Linked DNA regions of Rattus norvegicus. The protein of the gene in region 1 interacts with the protein of each later gene in a pairwise test. Links are inferred from orthologs where the notes say so. Each region holds a gene or a part of one and is shown on either strand. Other genes may lie near its edges.

Evidence for each region.
Region 2: the proteins of Trim32 (region 1) and Scgb1a1 interact in binary tests that used the Homo sapiens proteins (3 or more experiments, as listed by UniProt). The two-hybrid records come from large-scale screens. The link is inferred for Rattus norvegicus from reciprocal best matches to the Homo sapiens genes TRIM32 and SCGB1A1.

The regions. Positions count from the first base shown.
Region 1 is NC_086023.1:84,017,128-84,024,560, reverse strand, and holds the start of Trim32 (E3 ubiquitin-protein ligase TRIM32), read right to left. Parts: upstream 3,930-7,433; 5' UTR 3,873-3,929; intron 1-3,872. UniProt on the Homo sapiens protein: E3 ubiquitin ligase that plays a role in various biological processes including neural stem cell differentiation, innate immunity, inflammatory resonse and autophagy.
Region 2 is NC_086019.1:215,405,795-215,413,227, reverse strand, and holds Scgb1a1 (uteroglobin precursor), read left to right. Parts: upstream 1-3,541; 5' UTR 3,542-3,598; coding exon 3,599-3,653; intron 3,654-5,333; coding exon 5,334-5,521; intron 5,522-6,927; coding exon 6,928-6,975; 3' UTR 6,976-7,090; downstream 7,091-7,433. UniProt on the Homo sapiens protein: Binds phosphatidylcholine, phosphatidylinositol, polychlorinated biphenyls (PCB) and weakly progesterone, potent inhibitor of phospholipase A2.

The DNA of each region.
Region 1 (7,433 bases):
GAGGAGAAGACACTAAGCTAAAGCACTTTGGACAGCACCAAGTTAGGCACAGAATTAACTGTGTAGATGAGCCTTTATTATTATTAGCAGCAGTGGCTGCAATTGCTACTGCTTGCCATAGCCACCAGCCAGCCTGTGATATGAAATGAACAGGCACCTGTCGTAAGGCAGATATCTAAGGCGCTAGACATCCAGTTAAATAATCTAAACTCAGGGCCTCCTGGGAGATTGCTATTTGATCTCAAGCAGAGCCAAAGTTTGAGTACTTGATTTCAATCTAACGGAATTCTTTAGACACCTTTATTTCCTATGCCCATCTTGTTCCTTGGGCGATTGGGCCATAAGCAAACCTGGAGAACCTTAAACAATTAAAGAAGCTGGTCTTTATTAAGCATTTACCACTAGTTTAGCCCCGACAAGATGGGGATGGAGACAACTTTTAGAAAGAGATATAAAAAAAAAAAAATCTAAAAATTTGATATGAAGGAACATTCTACAATTAATATGCTCATGTGGTTTGTGGGTGCTTTTATTTTGTTTAGAGACTAATCACTCCCTTTTGGGCCAGCACTCAAGCTTTATTTCTTATGCACTTTAACCCAGTTTGAACCAAGTGTGAACCGGTCTCAGTGCCACAAAGGCCACTCACTAACAAAACTCACCATTCCCTTAGCTCTGGCCAGGGAGACAAGTCTGTGAACTTTAGATTGGGGGCACTTATGATGCCTGCTAATAGCTAAAACCATATCTTCTAACTGCCACCTGGGGTAGTGAGTGCCAGGCACCTTCTACACATCACATGTGTTCTCTTAACTCTGTGAAGGAAGTGTTAGTCCACATCCTAATTAACACTCAGAAAAAAGTAACCTGTCCAGGTTCTACCACCATGGACTGTAGTAGCGTCATCCCTCAGATGCCCACATGTGAACTATGCCACAACAGGGCCCACTTGAAACATGTACTTTCATAGAGGATATGACTACTGTTACCTGCAGGCAAGATATGGCTAACAGGTGGGTAAATTCATCCAGGAATGACTTTTAAACCATACTGTCCTATCAGAAAGGCACAATGGAAGAAGTCTTCAAAATGTAACACCATCTGCATACGGAGGGGCATACTTTAGGAGGCTTGCCAACTTGTGACTTCTGATTCACATGCCCACTTAGCCATAGGCTCTGAAGCCCAGGATATGTCATGCAACTTACCTATTAACTTCCCACCTTATGGAATCAAGAGCAACATTTACATTGTGAGCTTTATGGAGAGAATGTACACTAGTCAGCACTCAGTGGAGTTCACTCTGTTTATAGACAGAGGCTGACTAGTGCTTGACCACCAAACAAGCAGTAAAACACCTGATTCCAAGGCTAACTGAACCTGCTCCATCATGTGTTTCCAGAAGTGATCTGTGTGGATATCACAGTCAAGTGTTCTGCCCTCAGCTCCAGTCTGATTTTAACTAGGAAATTGCCTCCTGTAATGTAGCTAGGTTTGGAGTTGATAAAGACAATGCTACCTTTCTGTTCCTGAGACCAAAATACACAAAGGAGGGTATTCAGAGCAGTCTCCTTCAGTCTAGCACTGTCCTTGGGCCAGAGTCTTCTTATCTCAGCTTCGTAGCTCCAAACTCCTTGCACTATCTCCCCACTGGTTCTGGTCTAAGAGCAAAGCAAGAACAAAGTCCAGGGCTTCTGCTGATCAAGAAAAGTCACCCCACTTTTGAATATGGGGCAAGCCTCCTTTTCATTAGGAAAGTCTGAAAAGGGAGGACCAAGACGACTGCAGCAAAGAAGCAAGAGGGGAGATTCTGTGGTGGCAATTTACACGGCAGTTTACTTCTGCCAGTTTTGGTGATGTGGCTTTACACAAGTGATCTCCTAAGCCTTAGTTTCATGTGTCACACTGGACATAGAAAGTATATTTAGAAGGACTGCCATGAGAAGAAAGTACACATAGATCTTTGAGAGTAGTAAATTCTTAACACTTACTAGGCACTAGACAGTAAGTACCCCGATTTATTTCACTGAGTCCGTACAGCAATCCTAGGATGCAGGTCTCTGAAGAGCTTGTGCATTGAGAGGTCAAACTTGTGCATTGAGAGGTCAAATAAGTCTTAAGATTTCAAAGCAGGAAGAGAAAAAGCCAGGATTTGGACCCAGAATTCTTGACTCTCTTGCTAGGTCCCTCATTTGTGGCATGATTGGCATTTCTGGCTAGGTGACAGTTTATTGTGGGGGTTGTTCACTAGAAATCAGTAGACCCCCACAACCCCTCAATTATGACAACTGACAATGCCTCCATCCAGACATGGTCAAATGTTTCCTGGCAGAACAAAACCACCCTATCTGAGAACTATGGTTTTAGGTAATGATACAGTCTAAATACTCAGTACATGTGAGGCTCTCCCTTGCTCCAACCCTGTTTTGTTTCTCGCCCAATTCTAATACTTCATTCATAGAATCACTGCCTCTTTGTGCTATAATAGACCTTCTATAAAATGATGTCAGATCTAAGATAATTTTGGCTTATACCTTTGAGGGCTTAGGGGTACAGAGAAAGGGATAAGTAGCAAAGCCCCTAGGTAGTTTATTGTTCTTCCCCAAGGCCTATAATGTTGAGTCTGTGGTGGGGAAGTTGGGGTGGTCAGAGTGGATTTAGTGAGAATACCTGTCTGCCTCAGGATTAAAGGGCCTTTAGTTAGCAAGTGAGGAAGACTCTGCCCTTCAGAGAATGTCAAACTCTCCTTCAGGATTTCTGAAGACCAGTGTCTTTATTTCCAAACCCCTACATTCTCCTAAATTCCATTCATTCATGCATAGTTTATTTATAAATTACTTTCAGGTCCCTGGGTCTTCAGAACACCCTCTGGGTTCAATTATGCAGAAATCAAGAAACAAAACAAACAAACAAACAAACACCTCCTTTAGTGGTCTCAGAAATTTCACCTGGTTTTGAATTGTACAATCTAGTTACAACATTCACTCCCCACCATTCAATCCTTTACAAACCCCATTCTCAACAATAAATCCCAAATCTAGAATTCAACCTCTTAGACTGTGTATGTTGCAACCCTGCAACTCACCAATAGCTCTTATGTGTCCCACATCCCTCTGGTACATCCTTTCATCTATTTTCAAACTCCCTACATCCTTTCATCTATTTTCAAACTTCCACTCCTATCACCCACGTATGGCAGCTCCAAACTCCAATCCTGTACCTTAGACTCTGCCTCCTTCAACCTTTTCCCTCATCTGCATTCCCCATCTTGTACTGTGCCACCTCCAACCTCCCCACCCCCGCCCCCGTCCTGCCTCACGTGTTGCCTTCAAACCTTTGCTGCGATTTGCTAACTGGGTACTGATTCCCTTGGGAACTCACCCCTCAATCTTTCCCAGATTCCGCTACAGAAATCCCTTTCTCTTCAGCATTTAGGATCTTCCAAGACTCTGGCTGTTTTGATCTCGGATCTTGCTACCATTACACCGATCTCCTCAAAGCCCTTAAGATTCTGCCCGCCAACACCCAATCTCATCCAGGCCTGCCAAATTCCTTTCTGCTTCTGATAGTATGCACCCAGATACCTCCAGGCACTTCAGGTCCTCGCATCTTACACATGCTGCACCCCGTCTCTCCGCATGGCCCCCACATTACCTCATACCTCTCTCCCGACATGCTGCAACTGCAAATTTCCTCAGCCCCTTTGCTCCCCTCCCCCAGCTGCATCTCAGCCCCGCCGAATCGCTCCTGAGCCCGTCCCTCCCCAACCCGGTCCTGCCACTCAGATCCAGTCCCCAAATTCTGCCATTCAATCTTGGAGCCCCGCGACCCACCACAGTCCCTGATCGCAGACCCTCCTTCCCGCCCCCTACCTGACCGCCCGCGGCTCCGACGCGAGTCCACCGCTGCCAGCCCACCCGCCCGCTGCCTCCTGCGCATGCGCTAGCGCGTACATCCCACGGCAATAGCCAATTTGTAGAATCGCCTGTCTGTCAACTTGCCCCGCCTCCCGAGGCATGCTGGGGCTTGTAGGCCCACGGCCCAGCGCCTGCGGCCCAGCTAAATGGGTAGGGATGGCTTCAGAAACCTAGGCCATTGCAGCGTGTGATCCAGCTTTCTGCGCTATTTCAGAGTCTAAACAGGGTTAGTCAATGCTAATCCCTCAGTAGTAGTCTCCAGAAAGTTCTGGCACCTTACAGAGAGACGCCTCTTTTAATCTTATGTAGGGAAGACGAGCACACTCCCTTCAAAGAGCAGCAGGTCCCCAGGCTAGGTCTTTCTGCCTGTGACACATCCCATAGTGGAGTCACAGAATACACAGCACTTAGGAAAGAGGTTTTCTTTGCCTCACAGCATGGAGGCGGATAGCAAAGGGAGAAAACAAGGAAAAGCCTGCATTCAGTCTTATCAGATGGTCAGTTCTGTGGCCCAGTGACTGGTCAGGTCCTGATGGGGACTGGTAATACCTGCTCTTGAACCTGATGAACACACAGTACTAGTTGGGAATATGAAGGAATCTGAAATACTAGGCTCTCATATTTGAAATTCCACCAAGCTGAGTACCCTCTGCACTGATGATAAGACAACAAACAAAACCAGTAATATCTTTAAACACTTGCCTACAAACTACAGACTTTGGGTAAAGAAACTGAGACCTAGGGGTCAAAGACCAAAGTAACCAGTTTCTACCTGCCAGAACCTGGATTTAATTTCTGAGAAGCATTCTTAACCTTGTTTTATTTTTCCGTTTCTTTATCTCGAAATAAAATTATGGGTTGTTTTGATGAATTACTAGAACTCAGAAAGATGGGAAAAGCAAATTTACCCCCCCCCCATCCCCAACTTGTCCAAGGTTCTATATCCACAGGACATCAGTTTAGATGGAACTCTGAACCAGGCTAGTCATTCTCCAACTGGACTCTCTTCTGGGCGATGCAGGAGTTCTCACACAATTTTACCCTGAGTACAGTGTTGTTATCTCAGATAATTCTAGAGCCCTGAGCCAATCCAGCCACCCAGAACTCCCAAGACCTGCTCAGAGAACATGTGACTCGAAGTTCTCTGAAGAAATTTTATCTGTGCTGGCAATCCTATGGACTGACCAAATGCCTAGAACTTCAAATGTGAAAGGATAGAAACCTGGTATACACACTTAATCAAGTTTATCTTGAGCTATCTTTAGTTCTCTGAATGGGCACTTATTACCAACCTTTGACTCTGACTTGCGATTATTAGGTAAAACTGTTGGAATGTATCCTTAAAGTGGAAGACCACTAGCTTCCAATAGTTCTAAAGCTGAGAATGTTATAACATCTGGAAAAGATACAAGAAATTTCCCTAGCTTGCTGTAGTCCACCTACCTGATGTCGCCCCGTGATGCATTTAAGTATTTTGACTTAGGAGTTTTTTGTTCTGGGAATAGGAATGTTCACAGACCTCTTCCACTGTAAAGTGTGTTATATGGGAGAGACAAGGCTATGCTTATTCCTATTTGACTCCGAATTACTTTGGGAGCAAAAAAGGAGAGGAGTACAGTGTTCCATCCTCTCTCCTTTTCTGACATCTGAAATTCAGCGGTCTGGGACCATGGAACTACCTGTATAACAGGTTGCATTAAAAACAAACTATGACTGTGTTCCTGTTTTGTTTATTTGAGGCAAGGTTTGGGGTATAACCTAGGTTTGTCCTGTACCCCACTATGTACCTGTCCTGGTAAGTTATTTGTTGGTTTCATTTGTTGTTTGGTTTGTTGTTTGGTTTGGTTTGATCAACTTCACACAAATCTAGACACATCCAGGAACCTTACCTTAGCCTGTAGCCAGGTCTACGGGGCATTTTCTTGACTGATAATTAGTATGGGAGTGGCATATGGATAGGCAGATGGTGCTGGGAGATATAGGAAAGGTAACTGAGCATAGGGCCTAGTGAACAAGCCAGGAAGCCCCAGCCCCCCTTTATCTCTGCTTTAGTTCTGCCTCCGGGTTCTGGCCTTCTTGAACCTTTGCCTTGTTTTCCCTTAATGATGTACTGGCACCAGAATGTGGGAACCAAATAACCCTGTCCTTCCCAGGCTGCTTTTGGCCATGGTCATTGTCACAACCGTAGAGGCAAATTAGGCTAGTGGTCCCGTCTGCCTGTAAGCTGTCTGTTCTCCTTACCCATTCTCCTAAATGGGAGGATGACAAACCTGTGCCCTTAGGCAAATGGTTTTAAATTGTTTTTAATTGTCTGACCTAAGGTTAGTGTAGCTGCAATAGAATACAGTGGGATAAGTAAAGTAAGGGTTGGGCAAGGGTTGGGCAGTTTCTTAGTACTTCATAGACATTCACTCATCATAACTGACCCTTTCAATAACACTGTAGGTGGATAAAGAAACCCCAAATAGCATGTGCCAGTCAACTCCCGGAAGTACAGAGCTAGAGTCCAAACCACCCTTTACAAACAACCCACATTTTATGAGAGGAGCTATCTTTTCTATTTGTTAAGAAAGATTATTCAAAATATTCAAAACAAATGAGAGATTACAATGCTAAGTCAAGAAATCTGTGACAAACTTGATTATGATCTCCTGGTTATTGTTTTACTCTTCCTTGAGCAGTTCTGAGCATACTCTCCAGGGGAGAATACCACACACAGGGGCAGCCTCACCACCTTCAGGTTATTTGGGGGGTAGATGAAAAGAGATGACTTGCTATTAGGCTTCCTAACTGGCTGGAACTGAGAAAGGCTTGTAAGCTTAGCATGAACATCCAATGTTCACATTCCAGCAGTGTGAATACTGAATAACCTTTGTACTGGCTTTCCGTCATATGTCATATCAGAGTCTTGCTGTAGCTTCTTCCTCTAGAAAGATAGGGAAGCCTTCAGGCAAGGGGCTTAGGACACTTCTACTCACTGTGCTGTAGGTGGAGACAATGAGAGAGCTGCTGTCAAATGGTCTCTGACTTAAATTCTCTTCTACTACCAGAGGGAAAGAATTAGAATTCTGTTCTCTGAACACTGCAATTAACATCCTACAATCTCACTTCAGCACTACTGGTGTGCATGTGTGTATATGTGTGTGTATACACATATGCATATATATATATATAGCTAGTCATATGGATTTATCATATATATTATAGGAATGCATATAACTTGATATTTCTTTCTGACAGAAAGCTAATGGCCCTCCTGAAATTCAAAGATAAGGCTCAGCCATGCCTTTGTAATTAATATGTTCTTTTCTTTTCTCCCGAAAATCATGTTCATCTGAATGTTCCTTTTTTAAAAAAATGTTTAAATTATTCAACAAATGTGAATTTATTGTCACCCTCCACACGAAATCTAGGAGTAAAATAAACACTTTAGAAAACTAGCTTCACTTCTGTCTTGCAGCTTTGCACACACAGTCCTCATGTTAGCAGCCTTTTGACACAGAAATGTTCTCAATC
Region 2 (7,433 bases), on another chromosome or scaffold:
TGATCCCAACCTGTGGTCTGACCAGTCCTTCTGTGGCCCAGCAGGATCACCAGGCTCAGAATGGCCCACCCAGAGCCTCCAACCTGCTTTCTGGGCTGTGCTGGGACTTGTTCCTCAGCTTCTGCCTTTTGGAATAGGTTAAGCACTGAAGCCCAGGATAAACATCTGGTCTTAGGCAATCCCTCCTGGGAGTACCTGGTGGAGGCCACTAGAGGCTTCACCCCTCCCTCCTGTCACTGCCTTTAGATTCATGAGAGAACAAGGGAAGGGCTCACTAGGAGACAATTTACACAGCCCAACAACCTGGCACCCACAGGCATAATCACATGTTATTCACACACACACACACACACACACACACACACACACACACACACACACACTGCCTGCATGGGGTTGGGGAGGGTCCAGCTGACCTAAGGACCCAGGTGAAATGTCCGTGAAATCAGTCCCCTCAGGCTGTGAGCGAGGCTCTTCCTGACCTTTTCTGAAACCAGGCTGAAGTATTTATATCACTCCAGAAGACTCCTAGCCCAGATGTCAAAGCTCTCCTTCAACCTAGGGATCAGGGCTCTTCAAAATCAGTCACAGACAATGCAATTGCCAATTCAATACCACCATCATGGTGCTAGTAATCAAGTGACTTCTCTTTCCCAAGGAATTTGTCTTTATACAATATACCTGTCCCCAGTGCAGCCAGAGATGGTAGTCCCCAGCCCTCCCCCAGGTGCTAAGCTTGGTGTTCTATCCTGGAAATCAAAGTGTAGGGCATGTGGGGGGGGGGGTGGGAGGGTGCTTTAGGGAGGCACTGCTGCCGGAATAGAACAAGCTGGGCTCTGTGGAGTTAAGAGAAGCAGGAGTTTCACAGATGCCAGGGCAGGGGAAAGGGCACTGTCAAACACGGTTCTTCCAAGGGCCAGGATAGAAGAACCTGTCTAGTACTCTTGGCGGTAGCAATCTGGCGACCACAGCCTCAAAACCAACCTCCAGCCTCTGCCCGCTGAATCTGAACAAAGCCATCACCCAAGAACAGCATTGCCCTTTCATGAGTTGAGCCAGAGACCCAGTCGGAAAGGAAGGGTGAAGTGGGGAGAGAAGCCCCATTAAGTGAACTTGGAAGAAGGAGGAAGGTGTTGAAGGGAACAAAGGAGACGCGTGGCAGAAACTAATGCAGGATCCAGACCATCTTGTAAACCCAATAACTTAAGCCCTGTAGCAGGGCCTCTGTGCAGCAGAGGGTGCACACTACAGGTTGTGCACACGCGTGTGCGTGCATGCATGCAAGGGTGCACATGCACAGGGTGGAGGTCAGAGGTCAACGTCAGGTGTCTTCGTCTGTCACCCACAGTCTTGTTTTTCAGACAGGACTTCTCACTGAATCTGAATCCTGCCCATTTGATGGGCTCATCAGTCAGTTTCCAGGTTTCCCTGGTCCCCACCTCCCCAGGGCTGGAATTCAAGGCATATCTAGCTTTTTTGCATGAATGTTTGAGAGCCAAATTCAGTTCCTCATACTTGCCCAATAGGCATAGTATATCCACTGAGCCATGTCCCCAACTCATTATGTTCACCTCATTCATTCATTCATCCATCCATCCATCCATCCATCCATTCATTCATTCAGGTTTGGTTTGGTTTGGTTTTAGTGTTTTGGGTTTTTTTTCAAGACAGGGTTTCTCTGTGTAGCCCTGGCTGCCCTGAAACTAACTTTCTTACTTACTTTCTTTCTTTCTTCCTTCCTTCCTTTCTTTCTTTAAGTTGGTTTGGGTTTTTTGGGGGGGGGAGGGTTTGGGTTTTTTTGTTTGTTTGTATTTTATTCAAGGAAAGGCTCCTCTGGGTTGCCCTGGCTGCCCTGGAAGGAATTCTATAGCCAGGCTGACCATGAACTCAGAAATCTACCTGCCTCTCCCTCTGCCTCCCAAGTGCTAGGATTAAAGGTGTGTGACACACACACAACTGGCTCTACATTTGACACTCACAGTATTCTGCACACAGCCACAGGGCTGTATCGCTAAGAGGCCATGTCACAGGTCCAGGAAGGCTTCACTGTTTAATAACTGGTTTGGAATTTGGAAGTGGGAAAGTATGTAGAGACAATCTCACTCTAGGACTCAAAGACAGAGATAAAATGCTCTTTAGAAACCTATTCTGTGGGGGAACAGAATCAGAACTCTATGTCAGCCTCTGTGCTAGCTGGGGTCAGGCCAGAGACACAGAAATGAGCTAAGCCTACAGTGAGAACTGATACGCAGGACAGTTGAGAACAATGGGAAAGTGCATCTGAAGGGCCCAAGGCCACTAGGAAAAAGGCAACCCAAAATGCCCACAACTTTAAATCCCCTTCCTGATGTGTCATTAGATGCAAACGGCCCTGGGGAGGATGTGACGTTAAACAAGGCAGTGTTCTGTACAGGGGCAGATCCTGCAGTTACTGGAAGCTGAAGGCTCCAGGCTGACCACACTAGGTAGGAAGTTCATGAAATGAGCTCTCGAAGCGCCTCTTCAGGTCTTCCCCGATGTCCAGCCCCACCAGCACCGTAGCAGGTACTGGGCATCTATTGATTGGGTGGGTAGGTGAACATTTGAGACAACCTGGAAGTTTAAATGGGATTTGTGGAAATAGAGAGGGTGTTGGTTCCAGCCAAGCCAGGTTCCATGCTAAGACATAAAAGCACTGGAGAAGTAAAAGAGTTAACGCTGAACATGGCCGTGGGAAGCAAGGAGACCAAGGTAAAGCCTGGGAATGGCTAACACTTGAGAACTGTCAACATCATGAAAGGATAAGAAAGAATGGCCAAGGAAAGAAAACAGGAAAGAGCTGAGTGTGGGAGAGGCCTGGAGAGAATGGGGCAAGAAGTGGGAGGCTAAAGGGTAAGGGCAAGGGAGGGTCAAGTCAGATGAGGACTGAAGGTGCTTTCAACTGGTAGGACTTGAGGGCTGCTCTGGGTAGGAGCCAGCCCGGTCTGGGCCCTGGGTCTCTCATGTGTTCTATGGAGAAGTCTTTATATTTGTTCATGTGTATTGTATGTGGGCTCTAACCTGGCCAACAATGCCCAAGAATCAAGTGATTTTTGTGGCTTGAAGTCTAGCCACTTTCCTTGGAGGGAGGCAATAGAAGGAGCCTAGTGACATCTCGGACGGAGTCTGGGGTCTTTGTCCTTCCCCTTGATTCCTGAAGGGTCTCCAGCCTCTGGTTCTCCAGGGTTGGCAAGTCTACAATTGCTTCCCGGAACCTGGAGTGCTCAGTGCTTGACTTTAAAGAGGACACAGGTGCCTACAGTTCCACGACCTCTGGGTTCCCCGACGCCCCCCCCCCGCACTGCCCATTGCCCAAACACCCCACAAGTGGCCTATTGTGTGAGCTCAGTTTCAATGGGAAAAGAAACTGGGTTTATGAAAAGAGATTATTTGCTTATTGCATGGAGATGACTAAGTAAATAGTGCAATTTCTTGAGTGGAGCACAATCCCTGCCCCTACCTCTTGTGGGCTGCCAGGAACATATAAAAAGCCACACGCATACCCACACATACCCACACATACCCTCACATTACAACATCAGCCCACATCTACAGACAGCCCAAGCCTCCGGCCTCTACCATGAAGATCGCCATCACAATCACTGTGCTCATGCTGTCCATCTGCTGCAGCTCAGGTGAGTGCCCAGGGTGGCTTTCCCAAGATCAGAAGGATGTGGCTGCCTGGAAGGCCTGGATATGCCGACGCCTCTCAGAAACATTGAGTCCGATAACCAACGCTATTTTGTGATCTTGAGGAAAGCTTTGAACCTAGTCCACTGCGGGGACTAGGGGACTTGTGGGGAAGCTGGAGAGAGCCCATCTAGACCAGCACATCTGTCCAAAAACAGACTAGGAATAAGGAGCCCTTTGAAGCCTGGACTAGGACTGGCTTAAGGCGCTAAGAGATTTTGATGCAGCCACCAGGTTGGGGTTCGGGGGAAGGGGCTGGGAATGGGGGTCCCACCCAATGCTGGCGTTTGGTCTGGCAAGGGAAGTACACAGACTCATGTCCTCAAACCCAAGGCAAGGTCGCTTGTTCTGGGAGGAGAGGAATATTCCAGAAAAAGATCTTCCATTTGGAAAACTGCCAGCTCAGGGCGTAGTTTCCTAAACATTCTGTCCTCTGGAGAAAGGACCGGAGGTCTCTGAATACTTGTTGCTTTCACTATGCAGAAAGGAATGGGAAATGAGAGCAAGAGGGAGGAGGACGGAAGGTATCATTTTGAATTAAAATATTTACTCATTAGATATCAGTACTCTGCACAGAGGAGGGTGGCTCAGCAAGACAGTGCTAAAACATGTGAAGGGGTGGACTGGTAAGATATTTGCATAGCAACGTACTCACGTTTTAAAAACTCTGATTGTAAAACTCGTTAGTGCCACTTACAACGTGGCAGTCGCTGACCTCAGCCATTTTACGTACTATCCCTTTCATTTTCGTAACAACCCAGTGAGGTAGAGATGTTGTGCCCATTTTGCAGATTAGAAAACTGAGCCACTGGGAAATGAAACACCCTGCCTGGTGATGATATTATAGAGAGGGTTCAAGTTGGAGTGACCATCTTTTGGTTTGGAGGCAGGGTCTCATTCTGGTCTGAGTTCACAACCATCCTGCCTCAGCCTCCCTGATACTGTGAGTTATGCCCAGCTAGCATGGCCATTAGCTGGAGTGGCCATTTGGAGTAGGGTCCTGAGACAGAGCAGTGAAGTCAAATTTACAAACAATGCAGAGAATTCCAGTGCAGGAAATTTGAGACTAGGTTAGAAGTGGACGCAAACCCTAGGAAATCAAGCAGACAGCACCATCCAAACAGCACTGCAGTTGCAGGGAACATGGAGAGGTGAGAGTCTCACCTGCAAATGACTGTGCCATCAGATAAGAGCCCTTTTGTGCCTTCATCTTCCAGGCCAGGTTTGGGGACCATGCTGGACTGGGGTAAGGGCTGTATCACATGTTCTCAGTAACAAGACACAGACTGCCACTAGCCAAGGGTGAGAGACATTCTGATAGAAAGCAGGACTCCCAGAGGCCTCCGGCAGCTTTGGTAACACACTCTGTCTAGAATGATGGCAGAAACAATGGCCAACCCAAGCCAGGAATCCAAAGGCAGCTCAGGAAAGCCACAAAAGCTGGCTGTAACCTAGAAAGTCCTTGCATAGTGCCAGATTTTCAGCTGCTTGGAGCCTCCCAGAGCTTACACTGTACCACCCAAAGGCTGCTCTCTCTTGCTAGACTGGCTGGTCCAGCAGAGTGCCGGCTGGCGGCTCTTAGAGAAGGGGCTCCATTCATGTGCTTCCTTTTGCCTGCACTCCAGCCTCTTCGGACATCTGCCCAGGATTTCTTCAAGTCCTTGAGGCCCTCCTCCTAGGCTCAGAGTCTAATTATGAGGCAGCCCTGAAGCCTTTCAACCCTGCCTCAGACCTGCAAAATGCAGGAACCCAGCTGAAGAGGCTGGTGGATACCCTCCCACAGGAGACCAGAATAAACATCGTGAAGCTCACGGTACGCAACATCTGTCCCTCATGCTGATTCTAAGTGGTTCTCCAACCACAGTGTCACACCATTTTGGGGGTTACAAAGGCTAATGACTGTCTTAGCCATGCACCCTTCCTTTTCATGTGTGTGTGTGTGTGTGTGTGAGTGTGTGTGTGTGTGTGAGTGTGTGTGTCTGTATGAGTATGTGTGTGAATGTGTGTGTGTGAGTGTGTATGTATGTATGTATGTATGTGTGTGAGTGTGTGTAAGAGTGTGTGTGTGAGAGAGAGAGAGAGAATGTGTGAGTGTGTGTGGGTGTCTGTGTATGAGTATGTGTGTGAATGTGTGTGTGTGAATGTGTGTGTGAGTGTGTATGTATGTATGTATGTGTGTGAGTGTGTGTAAGAGTGTGTGTGTGTGAGAGAGAGTATGTGTGAGTGAGTGTGTGAGTGTGTGTGAGTGGGTGTGTGTGTGAGTGGGTGTGTGAGTATGTGTGTGTGTGGGTGTGAGTGTATGTGTGTGAGTGTGTGTGTGAATGTGTGTGTGAGAGTGTGTGTGGGTGTCTGTGTATGAGTATGTGTGTGAGTATGTGTGTGTGAGAGAGAGTGTGTGTGTGTGTGAGTGTATGTGTGTGAGTGTGTGTAAGAGTGTGTGTAAGAGTGTGTGTGTGAGAGAGTGTGTGAGTGTGTGTGAGAGAGAGTGTGTGTGTGAGAGTGTGTAAGAGTGTGTGTGTGTGAGAGTGTGTGTGTGAGAGAGTGTGTGTGTGAGTGTATGTGTGTGAGTGTATGTGTGTGAGTGTGTGTAAGAGTGTGTGTGTGTGAGAGAGAGTGTGTGTGTGTGAGAGAGAGAGTGTGTGTGTGAGAGTGTGTAAGAGTGTGTGTGTGAGAGAGAGAGAGAGAGAGTGTGTGTGTGTGTGTGTGTGTGTGAGAGAGAGAGAGAGAGAGAGAGAGAGAGAGAGAGAGAGAGTGTGTGAGTGTGTGTGTGCTTGCCTCACTGTCCCCAAACCCCTGGGGTCAAGTGTTATTCCCACCTCAGCCTCCTGAGTGGCTAGAACTATAAGCTTGGACCTGCACATCCAGCTGCACTGACTTTTTTCCATAAGAATTTTGACATTTTATTTACTTAGTGGGAGTGTGTATGTGTATGTCGCAGATGCGGCGGTCAGAGGACAGTCTTTAAGGAGTTGGATCCTTCCTCCCACCACGTGGGTCCTGTGGATCAAACGCAGAGTCAAGTGTGATGGCAGAAGCATTTGCAGCTATGACTTTTTACCTGCCTTTTTTATTGATGTCTTTGAGAAAACCATCCATGGCTTCCTAACCCTCAATTCCTCTCAAATCTTACTGTGGCTTTTGTCGGTTAAGTCTCTGCACCACTACTCTGTCTACTCCAAGGTTCACTAACTATTTGGGGGGCGGGGTTCTTTATTCTAGGAGAAGATCCTAACAAGTCCTCTGTGTGAGCAAGATTTAAGAGTCTGAAGCTCACTGGATTTCAGAGATATTCTACGCTAAAGGCCCCTGTCATTGCCCTCTGCCTCCTTGACCTCCCTACACCAACCCCGCCTTCCTCTTTGCAATAAACTTCGAGCATCTCACTTGCCTGTGTGCACTAGTCCTTCTCTGTACCTGCTGAGCCAGAAAGGCTGGTCCTGGAATGAATGAAGTGAACCAGAACTAAGGGAAGACACCTGAGTCCTGCCCTGGGGCCACACAAGAAATCCCAGAAGGCTCCTCTCCTCTACACTTCTGTTGTCTAGCATCTATCCCTATAGAAGGCTACCACTGAAATGCTCTCTAGTGAGGTCCCACCATCTGTTCCACAGTTCCACCCAGCCTGTCTAGCAGACCTGCAATACCATCCCTCCCTCCCCGTGTCTGGTCCTAAATGTTACTGGATTCTAACTCCATCCTCTGGGCTACACTATTCCGGTCAGGAG